2 linked regions of the Astyanax mexicanus genome follow. Each later gene encodes a partner of the first gene's protein in a complex. Links are inferred from orthologs where the notes say so. Each region holds a gene or a part of one and is shown on either strand. Other genes may lie near its edges.

The links.
Region 2: the proteins of nup58 (region 1) and nup54 are in contact, whole or in part, in a crystal structure (PDB 4JO7), measured with the Homo sapiens proteins. The link is inferred for Astyanax mexicanus from reciprocal best matches to the Homo sapiens genes NUP58 and NUP54. Residues at the interface, in NP_054808.1 of Homo sapiens: Pro342, Tyr345, Phe346, Leu349, Val350, Phe353, Gln356, Leu357, Tyr360, Gln363, Ile364, Leu367, Leu371, Gln374, Ser378, Ile392, Tyr393, Phe396, Leu399, Ala400, Leu403, Ile406, His407, Val410, Lys414, Tyr417, Tyr420, Arg421; in NP_059122.2 of Homo sapiens: Tyr453, Leu459, Glu462, His466, Leu467, Gln469, Gln470, Gln471, Gly473, Leu474, His476, Leu477, Ile478, Ile480, Ile481, Asp484, Leu485, Ile488, Lys489, Leu490, Val491.

Annotation. Positions count from the first base shown.
Region 1 is NC_064408.1:99,531,422-99,538,799, forward strand, and holds the start of nup58 (nucleoporin p58/p45), read right to left. Parts: upstream 3,138-7,378; 5' UTR 2,809-3,137; coding exon 2,729-2,808; intron 466-2,728; coding exon 302-465; intron 1-301. Other genes in the region: mtmr6 (myotubularin-related protein 6), read left to right, coding at 5,256-5,279. UniProt on the Homo sapiens protein: Component of the nuclear pore complex, a complex required for the trafficking across the nuclear membrane.
Region 2 is NC_064424.1:47,543,141-47,550,904, forward strand, and holds the start of nup54 (nucleoporin p54), read left to right. Parts: upstream 1-4,606; 5' UTR 4,607-4,641; coding exon 4,642-4,678; intron 4,679-6,327; coding exon 6,328-6,432; intron 6,433-7,397; coding exon 7,398-7,466; intron 7,467-7,764. Other genes in the region: bxdc2 (ribosome biogenesis protein BRX1 homolog), read left to right, coding at 3-114, 314-357, 450-520, 1,228-1,277, 1,394-1,467, 1,582-1,632, 1,740-1,841, 2,226-2,354 and 1 more. UniProt on the Homo sapiens protein: Component of the nuclear pore complex, a complex required for the trafficking across the nuclear membrane.

The sequences.
Region 1 (7,378 bases):
ATTAAGCAAGCTATTTTAATGTTAGGGCTGACCAAAGTAGAACTGCTTTGTGACGTGTAGACAATATGTCTAAATTATGCAGACAGCACTTTCAATTAGTAACTTTACAAAGGAATACCCAGTGATGGAGTTTAAGCTCCTGAGAAAAAACTAATTTTTACTGCATAACAAAAGGATGGATAGCAAATTTAAAACATATTTTTAAATACAGGCTTGATGAGAAGGTGTCTACTGATCTAAATACTAAACCATCTCCAAGAACCCAATACTGCTAACTCGGCAAATAGGTATGCCTTCATACCTGAGGCAGGTGTGTTGAAAGAGAATCCACTTGTTGGTTTCTGAGCAAACAAGCTGCCCCCAAGACCCAGGGAGGAGGTGGTGGTGGTAGTAGCAGCAGCAGGAGTCGAGGTCACTCCTCCCAGACCACCAAAAGCAAAGCCACCAGTGGCTGCAGCAGGGGCACTGTGAGAGGAAAGGTTATACACTGGGTAAGGGGACACTTTATCTAACAATATTAACATTTCCAAAACCAGGCTACCAGGCAAATCATGTCCAAAAGCTGATCTGGGGTATAGATTTACAAATGTTTTATTAAAAGACATTAAAAATCATCCTTGGGATCATATAAACCTTAGTTCATCAAAAAGTTTCTCAATATTATTTTAAGTAAGTCTTCATATTCTCTGGTGATTTCTGTTGCAGCCATAATAAGAGACTGTGTCCTGCATTTTATATTTTAATTAAAATTAACTGTTACTTCCATAATTTAATTCCTTACAGAACAACAAAATCAGGGAAAAACTGAATCAAAGCAACTAATGAGCTCTTGGACTGTGTGGGGTTTGGTTATATATTAAAGAATATATGTTAAAGAATATAAATTCTTTCTTGACTTGTTCTTAAGTGTTAAGTATCATTAATTTTCTCTATTATAAAAACTTGTTAGGGATATATTTTGTGAAGCTAGCTCCTGACTACTTTAAGATTCTGATTTTTTTTTGTATTGTTGCAACTTAGCGATTAACACTACAAAACTGGATTTTGCATATGCAAAATATTTCAGAAATTTTATTTAAATTAAAAATGAATCTTTTAGCCAAATTATTTTTTTTGCTTTAGACAACCTCTGAGATCATAGGAACCCTATGAACTGTGGATATAGCTGAGATGACTGTTGCATAAAGATCAATATTGTTGCTGTCTTAAGTAAAACATGCATCTCCAAAACAGCAATTTTACTGGAGACATATAAAACTTTCAATGGCAGTCTATGTAAAAAAAAGTTTATTTCAGGTAACTTTGGAGACTTACTATTGGTCCATTCCTCAAGAAATGTGTCAATTTGTGTGATCAAATTATGCAGTAAACAAAAATGGTGATACCTGTTTATTTTGTTACAGCTTCTAAACAGATTGCATGATGAGTTTATTGTCTGTGTTTTCATATGTAAAGATTATTTTAAAACTGTTACTACATTTTATCTGGGTTTACTCTTTGTATTCACTGTTTCAACAGCTCTCTTTCAATCATTTTAACAATTTAAACACTTTAATTAAATGTTTTACAATGCATATAAGTAATTCTGACGTAGCTGATAGAAATCTTTTAAAAAATTATTGCTGCATTCTTTATGGTACATCAAGATTTTAACCTGAAAATATAACAAAAAACGTAGGTCACCTGAGATAAGTACATTTAATTATAATCTTGCAAAATTTAAAGATATAGATCCAAACTGTTCATTTTCAAAAATAGAACATTTATTTTTCAATGTTTTTATTCAGAATATTTTTGGATAGCTCTAGCTAAATATTTTTCTAATAAAGTAAAATATACAGGGTACATATAAAACGTTATATGATAATTATATGAAAATGATATTTTTGTTTTTAACTGTAAGGTCTCTACTGTCAACGTTACTTTGAATCTAATGCTGAATTTGTTTACTGAGTCTCTTAACTGCCTTAGTAACAAAAAAGCTGTGTCCACTATAAAGTACATGAATGAGTTAAATTTGCTGGTTGATGAATGAGATGTGTTGTCATTATGAATGTTTTGTTTGACTTGTAAAACGTGCTGGTTGTATGGTTTAATTGTCTTGGATGGCTGTGTGTGCGCATTATGTTTTGTGGAAATTAATAAAAAAAATAATGCGTCATGTGTTCAAAACGAGAAACATAATACATGAGCTGCTCACTGAATTTATCTGATTCAGTTTTAAATTTGCTATCAATATTCAGAAATGAGTCTGGGCTCTTATGGGATATGGCTGATATTTTTGTTGCTTTCTGGTGTCCGACTGTTAACCTAACCATCTTGATTATGTCGAGAAAACGCCTGAATTAGCCATTATTATAACTAGATTGGGTTTATTAAAATCCAATAATAACATATGTGTTCAAATAACCTAGCTTATGTTAACAGTTACTCATTTAAGATTAGCCACACTTTAGGTGAGAGGAGCTACTAACTAACTTAGCGTTAGCTAAGCTAACTAGCTAGTTAACGGTATTAAAACCACAGTAGCTGGCAATAGTTGAGTATTATAGCGTTATCTGTTATATAAAGAAAAACTATTATTCTCTGCTTGTTGAAGTAACGTTAGTTGATGAACGACGCTGTTGCACTAGTTTCCGTTTAGCCCAAGTTGCTAGCTAAGCTAACGAGCCTAAGCGTTAGCTCAGTATTGCTAAAGTAACGTTAACAACATCCTCTATCGTCTCACCTGGTCGCAGCTCCAAATGAAAAGCCCCCGCCAGTGTTTGTGGATCCTAGAGTGCTTGTTCCAAAGTTAAAGCCCGACATTTTCGGTCTGTGCTTGTTTTACCTTAACAGTCTTTTTAAAAATACAAGCAGGACCGAGGCGCTAACCGGCTAACGCTCAGCTAGCTCTGCAGCACTCCGACCTCGTGGAGGCTTAAAAGGCTAAAAACACAGCCCACCATCTCAGAGAGCTTATAAAGCAAACTCCAACACAGGCCAGAGATACTGAACAGCACACTGAAACTACAGCTAGCTACATTCACCGCCCCGCAACATGCACGGGTTCAGCTTTACTCCTGACAGTCTGTTAAAAAATCAAACTTCTTTCCGCGCTCGAAGCTTCTTCTTCTCCTCGGTAGTAGCGATGCTCGATTCGTGACAGAATCGGTTCACTTGAATCGGTTAACAATAAACTGAACTTTTTTTCTTCATACACCTAAAGCTTTGCAAGATATATAGGTATACTATATTGTTTATCCCTCTGTTTGAGCGGTTTGTATTTAATATATCTGAAAGGATAATTTTTAGCATTCATATTTCATGATTTAAACAAGGAGAATATGGTAAACATAAATAAATAAATTATTTAATAAATGAATGAATAGGTAAATAAAAAAGCATACAAACCTTAACCTGTTTTAGAGATAAAAATATTAATATTTTACACATTTGTAAAATAGAGATATGTAAGTGTATAATATTTTTAAAAAAAATGGAAGTATGAATGGCTGCGGTCAAATTAAGACCAATAATTTGAGGGTAACAGGAGGATTATTTGTAATGAAATTGAAATACCACACTTTAAAACATTTTCTCTGTACACACATTTATAGTGGTCTTTTTCTTAATCTCTTTAAAGGGTTGTGTATTCCAGTCCTGAAATAAATTCAGGTTTTTAAAATTCAAGTATTGACATTTCAGTGTGAATCAGAATCACTTGTTAAATAATAAAAAATAAGCAAGAATAAATAAGGTTTAAGTCGATTTATAGATGCAAGTACTGCTAATGAAAGTTACTTTGAATCTTTGGAAGTTTAATTGTATGATGATATGCTATATATGACACAGAAACAATGGAGTTTTCCTGTGAATCGGTTCAATGAACTGAATCAAACTAGCTATTGACATCACTCCAAGCAGAAGCTCGCTCCCTGCTGGGCTGGAGGAAAGGTTCAGGGCTTCAAGTGAAAGTAAGAGCCATACACAAGTTAAAATTGAAGAAGGAATAGACACAGAATATTCTTAACTAATATTTAACTAATATGTGTACTTAATGGCAGAGTGGTGTTTTAGTTCTAGTTCTGTGTGAGAGAAACACACCACTGCTACACTAGACCTTGGGCTAGACCCCTAATTCAGCTACAACAAAATAGTTAAAGCCAGACCTTATCAGTCAAGTACTGTTTTTAAAATGCTTGCAAGGCAATGCAATGTATTGATATCTGTTGGTAAATAGTAGAGTTAATCTTTTTTCTAACTTGTGACTTTTTATTTTATATTGGAACTGTGTCCTTTGGGACATGTGTATCTAGCTGTAATTATAACTACATATTATAAAATGCAAATATTTTGGAAACAAATTCACTGTTTTCTGTGTTAATCATGATGACAAATCTGAGGTCCTTGCACAAAGACAATGTAGGATAGTTTTTATAGCTTTAATACTAATAAACAATAAAAACCTAAACTCTAGTGATTGGCACCACAAGGGTTCAAACGAAGTGTTGAAGTGTTAAATGTTAATTAAAAAAAATATGTTTTTATCTCTCTATGAAATGCAACTACAATATATATATATATATATATATATATATATATATATATATATATATATATATATATATATATATATATATATATATAAATATATCCATCCTTCCATCCATCCATCCACCCACCCATCTAAATATCTATATCAATCACCTTCTACTCAGTTTTCTAATTTATTGCACATAATTCAGTCACAATCATTGCAATTTATGGCATTATTACTCCTTCAAAAAATAAAACTGATCCTGTCCAAATGAAAGTAATAAGTAAAAGTAAAAGTTAAATAAGCTAACACTTTGTGTTCAGTAAATTAAATTAAATAAATTACTGCAAAAATCTTTTTTTTATTTAACGTGTCATTTCAATTACTTTGTGACTAGTTTTCTTGTTTTAATCCCTCAATAGTGATTTAATCAGTGGCTTCACCCACTCCTACCAGCAGCGGCGAAGCGGACTACAACTCCCGCCATGCCTTGGTGTGTTTTCGCCGTACGTGGCGGAGACACGCCCCGAAGAGGAAGTTGCAGGTCAGAAAGCAGAAACAGGAGGGTGATCAACATTAGGATCAGTGAGCGGAGAGGATGGTGAACTGGGTGTGAGAGATTTTGCACCAGGCAGCTTTTTATTGCTTATTTTTTCATGTGTGAGCTGTCACCCGCTCACAGCCCGCTTCTGCTTTCCTGCTCGATCGCTGAGCACAGCGCTGCTGCAGCGGCCTTATGGAGCACATCCGAACACCAAAGGTAATCAGTGGAGCTGCGAGGCGTCGAGATTAAACTAGTATCTATATAACTAACCCAGAGCCTCTCTGACTGATTCTACCACTGTTACCATCGCGATTAAAGTACATACTTTATCATCAGAGCTTTTCTCAACAGTCTTTACACCAGGCCTGGCTCTGGGCTGCAGTGTTGTGCTCTTTACAGCGCTGTACCGGCCGGGGGGTAACAACCGCTGGGTGTTTTGAATTAGATCTCTGGGTGATGGTGATGATTGATTGTGATTGTGGTGTAATTAGACGTTTCAAAACGCTTAAAGCTAACTCAGTCTTAAAATCAGTTACTATGGTGTCTTAACACTCAAAGATAGCAAATAACATTGAATAAACAATGAATTATGGTTGCATTAGCTAACTTACGTCTTAAAAAAAACAACAACCATAATTTAGCTTTGGGAGGTAGTATGGAAGTTCTAAAACTGGATCAGAAAGGCTTTTAATGATTGTTTTACGTGAAAGGTGCTCTCCAACAAAAAATACAATAATAAGAGTAACACCAGTAGTAATAATAATAATAATAATAATAATAATAATAATAATAATTATAACAAAAGTAGTATTAAAACATTTTTTTACGGACTGAAAATGCAGACTCAATAATATGCTCTCAATCAAACTCAATAATAAGGCTAAAAAACTATGCAATATTTGTAGCCTATAGTCTTTATTAATAAAAAAAGGAAATAATATATTAATATAATAAATTAATTCTGACATCAGAGATTTATGCTGATTAATGCTGGGAGTTCTGTCTTTGTGTGTTGAGAACTAGTAGAGTAACTCTACTTTCTGAGGTTAACAATTTAGCAAAACTGGCTAACATTACCAAGCTGTATTTGTGTAAGTTGCACTAAAATAGACATTTTTCTTTTTAAGAAAACTTGAGATTAATGCGCGGACAATGGATGAGCCAGCTCCATATGAGAAGTTTCTGTTTAAAGTGGGCCAGACGGCCTTAGCGTTTCTTTGCTGAGGTTTGCAGGTTTCTGCATAACCAGCGGTTAGTTATTTATAGTTTTTTCCCCTTAGTCTTGCATGGAGGTTTTTAGACATGTCTTGGATTGGGAACATCCACTTTTTGTTTGTCAGTGTTTGGTGGGCTGCACCTGTATTCAGCTTTTGGGTTAGCCTTTATCTTTGTGGATACTGTTAGTCTGAATGCAATGACATGCCAATAGTCACTGGAACACAGGAACTAGGATTGTGTCTCTTGATTTTTACCATGTCTCCTTCATTAAGTGTAAATGTGATTTCTGCCAGAGTCACTCTAGTCAGATACTACTGGCCCCAATCATTGCCACCTACTGTTCTTACTACTATGAGAAGTAATGCCTTGTAGAGTGTATTTGATGTGACACTGTGCATCTGACTTTACTAATGCTGTTGTGCAAACAAAGTGCATTAATTAGTGTTGAGCAGAGGCTGCTATACTACGGAAAAGGGTGCAAATGGGTCTGTTAATACCATTGATTTTATAAAATACATTTCAAAAGCAGGTGTCTACAAAAACTTTTTAACTGTTTAACAAATTAAGCATAGTTAGTTTAGCATAGTATGCTTTCTATAGGCCGTTATAGCACAGATAGATATATAGATATGACTACATTCTACATTTTTCTCTCTATTGCTCTGACAACATATCGTCATTGTTGGCAATCTCAGACCAATAATATCTTTTTCAGTTCTTGGTTGGTCAGTTGATCATTCCATTGCCCTGATAAGTGATGACTGCCCTTAGACAGGCTGCAGACCAACTGCCTGGCCTAAATGTCAATTCTCAGTCTTGCCAATAACATGGATAGTATTTCTTCATGGTGTCCAGTGGTCTGCTTGTGCTTCTTAATGGCTTGTTGATGATTATTTAAATCCCATTTGTTCACATAATCACTGGCCATCCTTTTGCTTTTTCACTATTGACTGTTTTAAGCATAGTGATCTTGCTGTGAGTTAGGCTTTAACTCACAATGTGTCCAAAATAAGAGCTTTGGCTTGTTTGTCTGGGCTTCAAATTATGGGTGAAGATTGTTTTGGTCAAGAAACTATTTGTTTCTTTTTTTGCCATCA
Region 2 (7,764 bases), on another chromosome or scaffold:
AGGGAAAGTGGAAAAACAAAGAGCGTGTTCTGGTTTTCTCCTCACGAGGAATCAACTTTAGAACAAGGCACCTCATGCAGGACCTGAGGACTATGATGCCTCACTCAAAAGCAGGTAACTGTCGAGCATTCACCCCACTAACAATAACTGTATTTGTCCCCACCTGACAGCCACTAAGGCTTGGAGAAGAAATGGTAGAGAAATAAAAAATAAAAAAAAGAACACCTCTCCAACTGTTTAACATGGGGGTGGGTGGATCATGCATTTCTGCAGGTTGTGTGAATATTTATCTCATTTGTTTCTTCATCTGCAGATACAAAAATGGACCGGAAAGATAAGCTGTTTGTTGTTAATGAGGTGAGATTTTTATATTGGAATGGTTCAATAGTTCAGCTTGATTCAGTCCAGTGATGAAATTATTATTAAAATATATTGTTTGTTTGCTGCAGGTTTGTGAAATAAAAAACTGCAACAAGTGTGTTTTCTTTGAGGCCAAGAAGAACATGGATCTGTACATGTGGTGAGTCTTCATCTGTTTACCTGTTTTCCAAAAACAGCTTTTTTATGAACCCACAGTTGGTGACCAAAAGTCTATTATTCTGTTTTTTCATAGTATACATATTTCATAGCTAAATCTACATTTAAATAAGTAATATTAGCATTTATTTATTAAGGGTAGGAATCTCTAGGCACCTTACGAGAGTCTGTGATGTGATTATAAAACGATTATCTTGATGCATCTTTTTGCTCTATGCAGGATGAATTTTTTTTCTCATTGCATGTAATGATCCATAATAAATCCTGATAAGGGTCTTTTAAACTCATTCTATGTACTTGAAAAAAGCATACTTATTTCAATTTAAAAAATAATTAATACCAATACCTTGTATAAATAGTAATATTATGTTAGATTTAACATGTATATACATTGTTTAATTATTTTTTTTGTATTATAATTTCTCTATCTCTATCTCTAATATACTAAGTTGTACGGAGATTAACTGGGAGCTTTAATGGAGGAAATATACTAAATAAACAATAGCTGCTTCAAAGAATAGCTGCTTTAACGTGTAGTTGTTTTGAACAGTTTGGTGGAAAATGAAGCGTGGGGGAAAGCAGTGTATGGCTCGGCGGTGGTTTTCTGGATTAACGTTCATGTTAACCAGCCTTAAATCATTGTCTATAAACAGATTAAATAATCTCACTGCTGCTGATTTTCTGTTGTAGGGTGTCTAATGTTCCTCACGGACCTTCAGCTAAATTCCTGGTTCAGAACGGTAGGTCTGATCAGTTTTTTCTGAATGTTTTTGCCTGTTTCTGTTTTGTGTGAGTAGTTTTACCCACTGTTACAGTTTATAGCCGCTGTATGATTTCCCACGCTGCTCTGTTTCAGTGCACACACTCGCCGAGCTGAAAATGACCGGAAACTGCCTGAAAGGATCCAGACCACTGCTGTCATTTGACCCGGTACAGAACGAAATATTATCATCAGTACATTTATACATACGTGTCTAGCTTCATGCCCTATCTGAGCTGGATGAGACTTATTATTATTGATATTAAAATTGTTTCTCTTTACAGAAATTTGATAAGGAGCCTCAATATGCCCTTTTGAAGGAGCTCTTCACACAGGTATTCCTCCTCTTTCAGTGTGTAGTCTTATTTGTCACTGTGTGAAACTCTGAATTTTAAAATTATTATATTATTGCATTAAATTAACATTGTTTTTTCCACTGCAGACTTTTTCAACGCCTCACTACCATCCGAAGAGCCAGCCGTTCGTGGACCACGTGTTTACTTTTACAATTGCAGACAACAGGATATGGTTCCGTAACTACCAGGTAAATATTCATCTGTTGTAAATAGAAACGAACATTTCAATAATTAAAATATTTATACATTTGGCTTTATTTAATTTATTATTTGTTTATTATCAAAGAAATGCCATTGTTGGGTATAAATAGCTTTTTTCACTTTATTTCAGTTGCTATTATTCCTTTTATAAATAAATATGGCTCTGGTTGAGAATCATAGAACAAACAAAACACTAAAAATATTTTTTGATATGATATTTGTGTGTGGTTTTGAGACATTATTGCAAAATTATATTTTGATATATCAGGTTTTTTATTACACTCATACGCTGCTGTATTTGATATATTATTAAACTCCTCTGTTCAGTTTTACTGTTACTATAAACTGTGTGTTTTTTTTATCTTGAATAGATTATAGAAGAAGACGCGTCTCTGGTGGAGATTGGACCTCGCTTCGTCCTCAATCTAATTAAAATATTTCAGGGCAGCTTTGGAGGCCCGACGCTTTACGAAAACCCTCATTTCCAGTCCCCGAACTCGGTAAGCTGCACTACTGCACTTCACCTTCCAGTCTGGGTATTAGCTTGGTTCTTTACACAGCAAAAACATCACTCAATAAACCTTCTGTAGCTCCTTCATTATAATGATTTTTAAAAAATCTCTTTCTTTAAATACTTTAAATGCTGCAAACTGAGTTAAATCCAGTTACACTATATTGACCTTTACTTGTCTGTCTTGTCTGCACTACTCATCCAGACTAACCCCTCCCCTCTTTCTGATTTTATTCTTCAGTACCGCCGCATGGTCAGAATGGCCAAAGCAGCTAAGCAGAAGGAGCGTCAGATGGTGAAGGAGATCCGGCTGGAGAAGAGGAGGGAGGTGAAGGAGGTGCTGACGGAGGACGTGACGGACGACGTGTTCGTGACCCCGGCTGAGGAGAAGCCGGAGATGGTGGAGAACGAGCCGCCGGTGCAGAACATCAACAAGAAGAAGAAGCAGAAGCTGATGGAGCTGAAGAGGAAGAACGTGATGAAGCGTAAAGGTCTGCTGTGAACCTCAGCAGGATCAGAGCACGGGTTCAGATGAAGCCTGGCCTCGTTTTTAAACCCTCACTTTATTCTGCGATGTTAAAGTGGGCGTGGTTTAGGAACAGCGGGCTGTGGAATACTCTGGGACTGATTTATTATGTGAGAGATAACTGCTTCTGTAGATTTCTATGGTTATTGTATGAGATGAATTTTCTCATTCTGTGTACCGACTGTTTTGTACTTTGGATAAATACAAATATACAAATTCCAGTGTTTTTTTGTTTGTTTTTTGCTTATTTTGTTGAGTTTGTAATAACACGATTAAACTCTGACCCTGATTGTCTGAATTTATGTCTGTAAGTTTGTTTATATGGGAGAAATCTCAATACAAAACTAAAAATTGCATTACCTGAAGGAAAATCAGGATGGATATGCAGCTAAAATCTCTCTCGCTGGTCACTAATGTGGTTGCTAGGGTGTTACTATAGTATCTGTACTCATTGCTATGGTGTTTGTGGACGTTGCTAAGATGTTGCCAGGTGGTTGCTTGGATGCAGGTTTACTCTCAAGTCATTAATCCAACATGACATTATATTAATAATTGCCCTCTGTAAATTGAAAATCTATATATTGTAAAATTAACAAATTGTATGTGTTGCATATAAATTATATTTGTTAGATATAATGACATGTTCCATAGAAAAAAGATTACTGTAAGCAAGACAGTATGTTATTATTGTTTAAATCAAATTTGAGGAAACTTCACAGTATGAAATATTTCTAACGTCTCAATTAAAGGAACATTTTCATTTTATCCAATCAGAACAGTGGAATCTTTGAATATAAACTAATTATAAATCATTATTGTGTTTTTAAAAGTATATTATACCTTACGCCACCCATCAGAACATCTAGCTGTGAGTTTACTGTATATGTCCTTAAAGTCAGATTAGCAGTTATTAGACCTGTAATTGCTTTAATGACCTTTATGCATTTCTTCTAGACATTTTTGCATACATATCTACAGAACTGACTATTAGATGATCACTGAAACATTACTTTACTACTACTATAAAAATATTAATTCTGATTTGGGAAATTTGCCTCAGTTCACTTTTAAACGAACAGGCCTATGCTTTAAGCCAAAAGTCTGACCAGCTTGGTGAAATGCTTGGTCTATTAAACTAAAGTGTGGCAGATGCTGGTTAATAAATATACTAGTCTAGCAGCGTTGGGTGAACAGTTTTATTATTACACTGACCATCAAAAACCAGCAGGGGGCGCTCTCTACATTAAATACAATGACTAAACACGTTTATAGAAATTAACATTTAAAGTAAATTAGGTTTCCAATGAAAAATAAACAATTAAGCATATATTTTAATTATAATAAATATTATTTGTGTATGTTTCTTTTTAATATTCAATTTAAATGTTGCAGGAAAACTGTTGTTTAATGTTAGATTTTACAGATTTGTAGATAGATAGATAGATGGGTGATACCGTCAACTATAGATACATATATTATTATATTCATTTGGCAATATTATTGCATACAATATGATAAATGGAACACTTCTAATCGAGATTTTCACCAGACTGTAACAAAAATCAATAGTCCAACAAGCGGTGTTGTGTAGAATTTGCGGTACCTTGTCAAATCGTATTTTAAAATCTGTAAGTTCTCTGAAACCAGGATAAAAATACATATACAAATAAATATACATCTGTATCGCTCTAGCCGGAACTAAATATTGTGCTGTGCGAGTTTCTGCCCGGACACAGCAGGACGGAGCAGCATGGCGTTCAACTTTGGCGGCGGCTCGAGCAGCGCGGGTGAGTTTATATAAATATATTTATATTAAAAACTGGCTGTAAAATCAGCTTCTATCAGTTACATCCCTGTACTAAACCCGCTCAGAGTCAGATAGAGCGGCGCGGGGCTCCTGCAGCTGTAATAAACACAGAGCAGCGGTAGGGTTAGCTAACAGGCTAACATCAACATTCCAGTCAACAAGGCTTTATTATTATTATTATTATTATTATTATACAAATATATACAAATAAATACAATAAATACAGCACACTAGAGACAGTTTAACAGACAGGACAGTGCAATGAAATGATACGGTACAATGAAATGTGTATAGTAAGGATAAGGTGCAAAGATATGTAACATAACGTTACTGTAACATATAGAACATAACGTTACATGATCACAGCAGTTTATAGACTTTATAGTTGTAAAAAATGAAACAGCAAATGTTGCTGATAGGGATAGAGACAATTCAGTGTGTATGTGTGAGATGGGTGGGTTAATTTTCCGCTCTGCTTTAACCTTATTACAGTACATTACTGTAAATTACAGAGAGTAATAATATCGCCAAAATGCTGACACGATAAAAAACATCCATATTGTGATATTTTTGAAAGCAGTCAATTTAAGGTGGCTCTCCATTGATCTTCCTCTATTTCTCTCTTTCTCTGTGCTTGTCACTCTGCTCTTCTGTTTTTCTCTTTTTCTATCTATTTGTCTCTCTCCTGACTTCTCTCTATCTCTTTCTCTTGTCACTGTCTCTACTTCTCTCTTTTTCTCTTCATTGATAGCTCAGTCTCTTTCTTTTCTCTATACGTTTCTCTCTCTCCATTGATCTTTCTCTATTTCTCTTTCTCTGCTTGTCACACTCTTTTTCTTTCTTTCTCTACACCTCTCTTTTTCTATTTTTCTTTCTACTTGTGACTGTCTCTAGTTCTCTCTCTACTCTCTCTACTTGTCACTCTCTCTTTCTGTTTCTCTCTACCTGTCTCTCTTTCTCTTTATTTATATCTCTCTTTTTTTCTCTTTACTTTTCTCTCTACTTTTCTCTCACTTCATTGATCTTTCTCTTTGTCTCTCTTTCTCTCTGCTTGTCACTTTCTTTTCTTTTTCTCTCTCTCTCTACACTTCTCCCTGTTTTTCTTTTTCTCTCTACTTGTCTCTTTATCTACTTCTCTCATTTCTCTTTTTACCTGTCACTGTCTCTAGTTCTCTCTCTCTCTCTCTGATATCGCTGCTTGTCTCTCTCTACTTCTGTTTCTCTCTCAACTTGTCTTTCTCTCTTTCTCTTTCTCTATACTTGTCTCTCTCTCTATTTTTGTGTCGTTTCAACCCAATACCAACCTCAGCCCTCATTCTGTTCACCTCTGTTCAGGGCTGCCACTATTTCCATAATCAATCAGTCAATCAATCAATCAAGCCGTGTATCATCTCTGATATAACTGATATAACTGTTATTTCAGACGTGTACACTAATGGATTGTGCTTCAGCTCTGGTGATTTTACTGTATCTCTGCTGTTTGGCCGGTTCAGATCTTGTGTATCACCCATCGCTCTGTTTCTGATCAGCATGGCTTCACTGAAACGCCTGAGGAGACCCAGACCTCCATCCTCCTCACGCTTCTTCATGCACTTGTGGTCACTGATGTCTTGTTTGTTGTTAATAAAGGCTCTTCAGGGTTTTCATTCGGTTCATTCGGTGCCAAAACGACAGCGCCAACAGCGTTTGGCTTTGGTACTACTACCAACACTACCGCTTCATCTGGATTTGGTAGTAAGTTCATCTGTCCACATTCATACTATTAACCATTATCATTTACATTATCATTCTACTGTAACCCATTTAATCTCATTTCCCACACTGTCCAAAGTTCATTACGTTTAATAAGGGTTCTAAAGAAACTATATTTCAGATTCTCAAACAGGGATGATGAAGCCTAGTAATTAGGAGTCTAACAATACACGATTGGGTTTAAATCCATGATTTCCATTTTCACACGATAATTTAAACAAATCTGAATTAAGAAAATTATACATATTTTCTCAAGTGGAAACAATAGGGGTGTAATGGTGCACTAATTTCTTCATAACTGTATAAACAACAGCAAATGCACTTTATATAATGCTCCATTTATACATATTTATCATTAAGTGTTACAAGTACTATTTCTGTTTAGTACTATTATGCTGTTTAATTGCTTAATTTAAGCTCTTATTTTTTAAGTGATCTAGAGTAAAAGTATCAGTGTGTAAGATGTCTAAACTGATCAGTTTTAAAAAGTTATCTAAATGCAGTTGTGTGATTGGCTTCATTCTAAAATGATTGACATGTCCTCCACCCTTTGCTTATGCCCACTGGAATTCTGTCCTCTTGTGTTCAAACAATTTAACCTCGTGAGATTTAATAGTAACAGAACATGGAATCGTCTGTTCTCAGGATGCACTTTTTTCTATCACAATACATCATTACAGCCCTATCAGTAGATCATTTTTTACCTTCAATGGAAAAATCTCCATTTAAAATGCTGTACCACACAGGCTAGGCTTTAATCCCTGTCTGGGAACCTGCGCCATACCTGGACACGCATTGTTAAAGTTGTACAGTTTTAACCCAGTTTGCTCTGGACTAACAAGGATTAAGGACGATGTAAGAGCAGAGTAGGCCTGTGTGAAATTCTACAGATATGAACAATTAATTTTTATTTTTTACCTTTTTTTTTATTGCTTTATGTTTAACAGCCCCAGCTTTTGGAGTCCCCACTACAACAGCTGCACCCACGGGGTTTGGCTTCGGCTCGACAACCACAGGTTTGTTGATATGTCAATAAATTATGGTTTCACTTTATTTAATTAATGCATGTTGTGATACAAGCTAAACTACAATAACAGACTGAGAAAAAAAGTTCATATTTCCCATTTTCAGTGTTTTAGAAGATGGAACATGCACAGGAAGGCTTATTGTATTTTAAATATGATTGAAAATTGTTAGTAAATTCCCATTAGTTCTGGATAGTACACACAGAACTAATGGATGTATATTTCTTAATTTCAGGTTATACAGTATAATTCTGATATGGATATAAATAGTATAAAAAACACCAGATGT